Saccharomyces cerevisiae S288C: one gene and its partner. The protein of the gene in region 1 binds, or shares a complex with, the protein of each later gene. Each region holds a gene or a part of one and is shown in the gene's direction. Other genes may lie near its edges.

The links.
Region 2: the proteins of RNR2 (region 1) and RNR1 are in contact, whole or in part, in a crystal structure (PDB 2CVY), measured with the Saccharomyces cerevisiae proteins. Residues at the interface, in NP_012508.1 of Saccharomyces cerevisiae: Phe393 (codon at 3,159), Thr394 (codon at 3,162), Phe395 (codon at 3,165), Asn396 (codon at 3,168), Glu397 (codon at 3,171), Asp398 (codon at 3,174), Phe399 (codon at 3,177); in NP_010993.1 of Saccharomyces cerevisiae: Val342 (codon at 2,880), Glu343 (codon at 2,883), Gln386 (codon at 3,012), Trp389 (codon at 3,021), Tyr390 (codon at 3,024), Leu393 (codon at 3,033), Ser691 (codon at 3,927), Gln692 (codon at 3,930), Lys693 (codon at 3,933), Ile696 (codon at 3,942), Met721 (codon at 4,017), Gly722 (codon at 4,020), Lys723 (codon at 4,023), Thr725 (codon at 4,029), Ser726 (codon at 4,032), Met727 (codon at 4,035), Phe729 (codon at 4,041), Tyr730 (codon at 4,044).

The regions. Positions count from the first base shown.
Region 1 is NC_001142.9:390,422-394,103, forward strand, and holds RNR2 (ribonucleotide-diphosphate reductase subunit RNR2), read left to right. Parts: upstream 1-1,982; coding exon 1,983-3,182; downstream 3,183-3,682. Other genes in the region: VPS53 (Vps53p), read right to left, coding at 1-432; YJL028W (uncharacterized protein), read left to right, coding at 890-1,225; YJL027C (uncharacterized protein), read right to left, coding at 1,412-1,828; RRN7 (Rrn7p), read left to right, coding at 3,546-3,682. UniProt on the Saccharomyces cerevisiae protein: Provides the precursors necessary for DNA synthesis. Catalyzes the biosynthesis of deoxyribonucleotides from the corresponding ribonucleotides. RNR2 provides the diiron-tyrosyl radical center.
Region 2 is NC_001137.3:297,094-302,359, forward strand, and holds RNR1 (ribonucleotide-diphosphate reductase subunit RNR1), read left to right. Parts: upstream 1-1,856; coding exon 1,857-4,523; downstream 4,524-5,266. Other genes in the region: ARG56 (bifunctional acetylglutamate kinase/N-acetyl-gamma-glutamyl-phosphate reductase), read left to right, coding at 1-908; TDA2 (Tda2p), read right to left, coding at 4,854-5,234.

The DNA.
Region 1 (3,682 bases):
ACACATTATCTTATAAGGGGACACCATTTTTTTGAATGAGCCCTGTGAGAGTAATTCATTGCATTGTATGTAACTGTCTGTCAATATCTTTAAATTTTGGAAAAGAGTCAAAGAGTGGGTGAGGTTTTTCTTGGCAATGTCCAGGTACGAGATACCTTCTGTCAGATTCGATATCGTCAACTCGGTGGAGGCTGAGACATCTTGAGTTTCTTTGAAATCTTGGAAAACTTTCCTCAGAGAAGCCTCTATTTCAGCGGAATTTTTAGGGTGTTCCTTCAATTCATTCTCTTCTTTGAGAATATCCTCTTGCAATTGCTTTTTGTAGCTTCTGGTAATACTGATCAGTTCATCTATGTTGTTCAGGGATTCTTTTGAAAAAAGTATATTGGTAATATCTTCCAGCGGGTCATAATCTACCGTACCTTCCAGCATTGTCCTTCTGAGAAAACAAAAATGGAAGATGTTGTGAAAATGCAGTAAGTGACAATAAGCTAGCGACTTTTCAATGATCGCAGATTAAGTATATATACACTTTAGGTCTCCTTCTCTTCTTTACTAGCTACGAAAAAACAAAGAAAAAAAAAACAAAATAGAGGGAAAAAAGATATACGTATAAAAATATGCTCCAGGGGAGGTTCGAACTCTCGACCTTCAGATTATGAGACTGACGCTCTTCCTACTGAGCTACTGAAGCACTATTTCTTGTTCCAACCGAGGAATAATACTAGACCTGTAGAAAAGTACCGCTTATCTAATATCCAACTTTTTCTTCTGTTCCCTTTAGTGAATTCAAGATGAAGGAACATAACAGAACGGAAAACAAAAAAAAAGGGAAGAAAAAAGATATCACCACCAATTGGCACGCTCGCAACGGTTTCGGGCCAGATTCATGGCCCTGTGGGGTAGAAGTGCCTACAGACAAAAAACCGTTACGTCCCGCCTCACCAAGCATCGACACACAAGCCCTCTCAACCTCCTTAATTTCTTTATCTTTTTTTCCCTTCACCTCTGTGCTCTTTTTTTAGCCACAGCTGTGCATTACGCTTGCTTTGCTTGTTTTGTTCTCTTTCGCCATGCCATATTACTACTTTTCTACTTACTGGCACGAGGCCGCGCAAGCCAGATCCAAGCACGCCAGAAAGTGCGGTGTACTGGTGCAACCTTTTATCGATTTCTCATCATATCGCTATCGCAACGGGCATGGGCGACGAAAAAGCCAATCTAAAGCGTTGTCTTCCTCGTTCCTCGCGCACGCGATTTTGCGTTCTGCATAGGAAGCCGAAGTCGAACAAGAAGCAGGCAAAGTTTAGAGCACTGCCCCTCCGCACTCAAAAAAGAAAAAACTAGGAGGAAAATAAAATTCTCAACCACACAAACACATAAACACATACAAATACAAATACAAGCTTATTTACTTGACATCGCGCGATCTTCCACTATTCAGCGCCGTCCGCCCTCTCTCGTGTTTTTTGTTTACGCGACAACTATGCGAAATCCGGAGCAACGGGCAACCGTTTGGGGAAAGACCACACCCACGCGCGATCGCCATGGCAACGAGGTCGCACACGCCCCACACCCAGACCTCCCTGCGAGCGGGCATGGGTACAATGTCCCCGTTGCCACAGAGACCACTTCGTAGCACAGCGCAGAGCGTAGCGTGTTGTTGCTGCTGACAAAAGAAAATTTTTCTTAGCAAAGCAAAGGAGGGGAAGCACGGGCAGATAGCACCGTACCATACCCTTGGAAACTCGAAATGAACGAAGCAGGAAATGAGAGAATGAGAGTTTTGTAGGTATATATAGCGGTAGTGTTTGCGCGTTACCATCATCTTCTGGATCTATCTATTGTTCTTTTCCTCATCACTTTCCCCTTTTTCGCTCTTCTTCTTGTCTTTTATTTCTTTCTTTTTTTTAATTGTTCCCTCGATTGGCTATCTACCAAAGAATCCAAACTTAATACACGTATTTATTTGTCCAATTACCATGCCTAAAGAGACCCCTTCCAAAGCTGCTGCCGATGCATTGTCCGACTTGGAAATCAAAGATTCCAAGTCCAACCTTAACAAGGAATTGGAGACATTGAGAGAGGAAAACAGAGTAAAGTCAGACATGCTTAAGGAGAAATTGAGCAAGGACGCTGAAAATCACAAGGCTTACTTGAAATCTCATCAAGTTCACCGTCACAAACTTAAGGAAATGGAAAAGGAGGAACCTTTGTTGAATGAAGACAAGGAGAGAACTGTTCTTTTCCCTATCAAGTACCATGAAATCTGGCAAGCCTACAAGCGTGCCGAAGCTTCTTTCTGGACCGCTGAAGAAATTGATTTGTCTAAGGATATCCATGACTGGAACAACAGAATGAACGAAAACGAGAGATTTTTCATTTCCAGAGTTCTTGCCTTTTTCGCCGCTTCTGACGGTATTGTTAATGAAAACTTGGTTGAAAACTTCTCCACCGAAGTCCAAATTCCAGAGGCAAAGAGTTTCTACGGTTTCCAAATCATGATTGAAAATATTCACTCTGAAACTTACTCCTTGTTGATCGATACTTACATCAAGGACCCTAAAGAAAGTGAATTCTTGTTCAATGCCATTCACACCATCCCAGAAATCGGTGAGAAGGCCGAATGGGCTTTAAGATGGATTCAAGACGCTGACGCCTTGTTTGGTGAAAGACTAGTTGCCTTTGCCTCCATTGAAGGTGTCTTTTTCTCCGGTTCCTTTGCCTCCATTTTCTGGTTGAAAAAGAGAGGTATGATGCCCGGTTTAACCTTTTCCAACGAATTGATCTGTAGAGACGAAGGTTTGCACACCGACTTTGCATGCTTGTTGTTCGCCCATTTGAAGAACAAACCAGACCCAGCCATTGTTGAAAAAATTGTCACCGAGGCTGTGGAAATTGAACAAAGATACTTCTTGGACGCCTTACCAGTTGCTTTGCTAGGTATGAACGCTGACTTAATGAACCAATACGTTGAGTTCGTCGCCGACAGACTGTTGGTTGCTTTCGGTAACAAGAAATACTACAAGGTCGAAAACCCCTTCGATTTCATGGAAAACATCTCCTTGGCCGGTAAGACCAACTTCTTCGAAAAGAGAGTTTCTGACTACCAAAAGGCTGGTGTTATGTCCAAGTCGACTAAGCAAGAAGCCGGTGCTTTCACCTTCAACGAAGACTTTTAAGAGTATCTCTCTATATATTTCTTTTTACGCAGTCTCTTCAATCTCTTTATGTGGGCTTTCGCACCTCTTATTTATATATATATATATACACTGAATCATATAAACTTTTTTTTATATTGAATCTAATATATTATCAAACGGAAACTTCGGCTGAATTTCATACGTATATTGATTAAAGTGGAAAGGGCATCGGAAAAGTAAGAAAAGCTTAAAAAAATTGAAAAAAAAAAAAAAAAAAATAAAAAATAAAAAATAAAAAAACCTATACAATACATACATATGTATATGAATATAAACCTGGAACGATGTGTCTTTAAAAATAGTTGAACGAACTACTCGGACATACCCCTACATCACTTAAGGATGTCTACTTTCATAAGAGGTCCCATCTGCGGTACAGACAACTGCCCCTCACGGCTTTGGCGTATCATTGATGGGAGAAGAACCTGCCAATATGGTCACGTTATGGAAGGTGACGTGGAATTTAACGACGATGAAGA
Region 2 (5,266 bases), on another chromosome or scaffold:
GCCACCCATATTTAGAAGTGGCCCATGTTTCTTCTCGTGAATTGAAAGGTCAAAAGTTGCAAGATTATACAAAATCCGAAATTATATATGAAAGTTTGCAAATACAGGATATTAGGAAACTGGAAGAACAAAATGCTGTGGACTTTTGGGTTATGGCATTACCCAACAAAGTCTGTGAACCTTTCGTTGAGACAATCCAAAGTGTTCATGGTAAGTCTAAAATTATTGATCTGTCCGCTGATCACAGGTTTGTATCAGAATCAGACTGGGCTTACGGTTTGCCAGAATTGAATGATAGAGCAAAAATTGCAAACGCTGCCAAAATTGCTAATCCCGGTTGTTATGCTACTGGTTCGCAATTAACTATTTCTCCGTTAACAAAGTATATCAATGGTCTTCCAACTGTGTTTGGTGTTTCAGGGTATTCAGGCGCGGGGACGAAGCCTTCTCCAAAAAACGATCCCAAATTCTTGAACAATAACTTAATTCCTTACGCTTTAAGTGATCATATACACGAACGCGAAATCTCAGCTCGCATTGGGCACAATGTTGCATTCATGCCCCATGTTGGGCAGTGGTTTCAAGGTATCTCTTTGACCGTCTCTATTCCAATAAAAAAAGGTTCCTTGTCTATTGATGAGATCAGGAAATTATACAGAAATTTTTACGAAGACGAAAAGCTAGTACATGTCATCGATGATATCCCACTGGTTAAAGATATTGAGGGCACCCATGGTGTAGTTATTGGTGGTTTCAAGCTGAATGATGCTGAAGATCGTGTAGTTGTTTGCGCAACCATCGATAACTTACTTAAAGGCGCCGCTACTCAATGTCTGCAAAATATTAATCTTGCTATGGGTTATGGAGAGTATGCTGGTATCCCTGAAAATAAAATTATTGGTGTCTGATCACTGTGTATAGTAGATCTGCAGCTCAGTCACATGAGACATTAACGTATATAAATATATAAATATATATATATCCATTAAATAACGAAGTAGGACATGGTCTAAAAATAGTGCTTCTCATGTATTGATTTTGAGTAGCCATAAGAATAATTATTGATTTCAAGATCTTTGATCTCCTTACATCCAAAATTATAATACCACTTTATGGTATCACGACATCACCACAACAGAGAAGGATTGCCGCATTTGGATATCGTAAACAAAGGCGTTACCATAGAAATGTACTGATTGGCAGAATTACTCTTCAGGAGAATCTTTCATACAAAGGAATTCCATTGGGGAAAATCTCGTTACCAAGTCAATGCTGAACTTTCTATGGCCTTTGTTTACTATCGTTAATTATTTTACGACCACTTCTGGGTAGAAATATTTCGTAGCCCTGGAACGAGCTTGTTTACGCGTTTTATCCCATTATATGGCACCCAAATCAAATTTAAAAAGAAAAAACGCGTAAACAGTGTCGGGTAAGTTCATCCTCTGTTACTTTAATTGCTTCTTTTTTTGAAATTCTAAGTAAACGCGTCATTTTGATCCTCAGGACACAGAAATCCTTGCAGAATCTTATTGGGTGTTGAATAGAGGACGCGTAAAAACGATATGGAAATTTTTTTCATATAGTGTAGAAAGAATAGGTTGGCGTAGGTAGTTTCGTGTTTGATAGAAACCTCCAACAAAGTCTGCAGCTCACGTTTTAGAATAACAAGTTTAGAGTTTATCTTGTTGCCTTTGTTAAGTCAGTACCATTGAATAAAAATTATATAAAGGAGCTAATATTTCATTGTTGGAAAATTACTCTACCATAATTGAAGCATATCTCATCCTTTTCATCCTTTTCAACGCAAGAGAGACACCAACGAACAACACTTTATTTGTTGATATATTAACATCATGTACGTTTATAAAAGAGACGGTCGTAAAGAACCTGTCCAATTCGATAAGATTACCGCTCGTATATCACGCTTATGCTATGGTTTAGATCCAAAACATATCGACGCCGTTAAGGTCACCCAACGTATCATTTCTGGTGTCTATGAAGGTGTCACAACAATCGAACTAGACAACTTAGCCGCTGAAACATGCGCTTATATGACTACTGTTCATCCAGATTACGCCACCCTAGCGGCCAGAATTGCCATTTCTAATTTACATAAACAAACCACAAAACAATTTTCTAAGGTTGTCGAAGATCTTTATAGATACGTCAATGCTGCTACTGGTAAGCCCGCTCCCATGATCTCTGATGATGTCTACAATATTGTCATGGAAAACAAGGATAAATTGAACTCCGCAATTGTCTATGACAGAGATTTTCAGTACAGTTATTTTGGTTTTAAAACTTTGGAACGTTCTTATTTACTAAGAATCAACGGTCAAGTGGCCGAACGTCCACAACATTTAATTATGAGAGTCGCACTAGGCATCCACGGTAGAGATATCGAGGCTGCTTTAGAAACGTATAACTTGATGTCTCTAAAATATTTTACTCACGCCTCTCCAACGTTGTTCAATGCCGGTACTCCAAAACCTCAAATGTCCTCTTGTTTCTTGGTTGCCATGAAGGAGGACTCTATCGAGGGGATTTACGACACCTTGAAGGAATGTGCTTTGATTTCCAAAACTGCTGGTGGTATTGGTCTACATATCCATAACATTCGTTCAACTGGTTCTTACATTGCTGGTACAAACGGTACTTCTAACGGTTTAATTCCTATGATTCGTGTTTTCAATAACACTGCCCGTTATGTTGACCAGGGTGGTAATAAAAGACCTGGTGCGTTTGCCCTTTACCTGGAACCATGGCATGCTGATATATTTGATTTTATTGATATTAGGAAGAACCACGGTAAAGAGGAAATTCGTGCAAGAGATTTGTTCCCTGCTCTATGGATTCCTGATCTTTTCATGAAGCGTGTCGAAGAAAATGGGACCTGGACATTATTCTCTCCAACATCAGCTCCTGGTTTAAGCGATTGTTACGGTGACGAGTTTGAGGCTCTATATACCCGCTACGAGAAAGAAGGTCGTGGTAAGACTATCAAAGCCCAAAAATTATGGTATTCCATTTTGGAAGCTCAAACTGAAACTGGTACACCTTTCGTTGTTTACAAGGATGCTTGTAACAGAAAATCTAATCAAAAAAACTTAGGTGTCATCAAGTCATCAAACTTATGCTGTGAAATTGTTGAATACTCAGCTCCAGATGAAACTGCTGTTTGTAACTTGGCTTCCGTTGCCTTACCAGCATTCATTGAAACTTCTGAGGATGGTAAGACTTCCACATACAACTTCAAAAAATTACATGAAATTGCTAAAGTTGTTACTCGTAATTTAAACAGAGTCATTGATCGTAATTACTACCCTGTTGAAGAAGCGAGAAAATCCAATATGAGACATAGACCAATTGCTTTGGGTGTTCAAGGTCTCGCTGACACTTTCATGCTGTTACGTTTGCCATTTGATTCTGAGGAAGCCCGTTTGCTAAATATCCAAATCTTTGAAACTATTTATCATGCCTCCATGGAAGCTTCTTGTGAACTAGCTCAGAAGGACGGTCCATACGAAACTTTCCAAGGATCTCCTGCTTCTCAAGGTATACTACAGTTTGATATGTGGGACCAAAAACCCTACGGCATGTGGGATTGGGACACCTTAAGAAAAGATATCATGAAGCATGGTGTTAGAAATTCCTTGACCATGGCACCAATGCCTACTGCATCCACATCCCAAATATTGGGTTATAATGAATGTTTCGAACCAGTCACTTCCAATATGTACTCCCGTCGTGTCTTATCCGGTGAATTCCAGGTTGTGAACCCTTACTTACTGCGTGACTTGGTTGATTTAGGTATTTGGGATGAGGGTATGAAACAGTATCTGATTACACAAAATGGCTCCATTCAAGGCTTACCAAACGTTCCACAAGAATTGAAGGACTTATACAAGACTGTTTGGGAAATTTCACAAAAGACTATCATTAACATGGCAGCCGATCGTTCTGTCTATATTGATCAATCTCATTCTTTGAATTTGTTCTTACGTGCCCCAACTATGGGTAAACTAACAAGTATGCATTTTTACGGATGGAAGAAGGGATTGAAGACCGGTATGTACTATTTGAGAACCCAAGCTGCATCTGCTGCAATTCAATTTACTATTGATCAGAAGATTGCGGATCAAGCTACAGAAAACGTTGCTGATATTTCCAACTTGAAGCGTCCATCATATATGCCTTCCAGTGCAAGCTACGCTGCCAGCGATTTCGTGCCCGCAGCTGTGACTGCAAACGCAACTATTCCATCTCTAGATAGCTCCTCGGAAGCTTCAAGAGAGGCATCTCCAGCTCCAACAGGTAGCCACTCATTAACTAAAGGAATGGCAGAATTAAACGTTCAAGAGTCTAAGGTAGAAGTTCCTGAAGTACCTGCCCCAACTAAGAATGAAGAAAAAGCTGCCCCCATCGTTGATGATGAGGAAACCGAGTTCGACATTTACAACTCTAAGGTTATAGCATGTGCTATTGATAACCCAGAAGCTTGTGAAATGTGTTCGGGTTAATGAGGGCTAAGTTTTTATTTCTTCAATTCTATTTATCAAAATTTGGGTGTTTACTTCGAGGTGTAATTTATATTTTCTTTTGTTTTCTCTGATAAAAAAATTGGTTTCCATTCTAATGCCAAGCTAAAAGGTACCTATATATGTTTACTAATTATTTTTCTACTTTGCATATATACATAAAAAAAGTCGAATAATTTAACATGAACATTTTAAGCTGTCCTTGTAAGAAGGCCATGATACAGATTCCCCCCTGCCCCGAAATGGGGTCTAGGCAACATTGTTCTATAAAGGAACGCAACTTTATGTGGCAACATTAAAGCAAATACATATCTACTTGTGAAGCCAAAGAATTGTAATTAAATAGCACTCATTATTATTTTTGTCTTCTAGTTTATAGTTGAATATACCATCTTTTTTAGATTCCCAGGATGCGCCTATATCGTTCTTCAATGAGAAATTAGCGTTTTCTTCGTTGAGTCCTTCAATGTTCAACGTCGTTACCGAGGCAATATATTTATACAAAGAAGAGTGCTTTTCAAGTTTTTCTAGGACCAGTTTTATAAGAAGGTTGGAAGTTGATTCGGTCGATAAATTGATTTCATTGTCATCTTTTAAACTATCATAACTTTCTTGAATTAACGTAACTAGTTTTCTTTCGGGCAGAGGAGAGTTATCACTCCTTCCATCCTTTATTTCAATCTGCATACTCATTTTTTTGTTGACTTTCGTAATCACTTACTTTC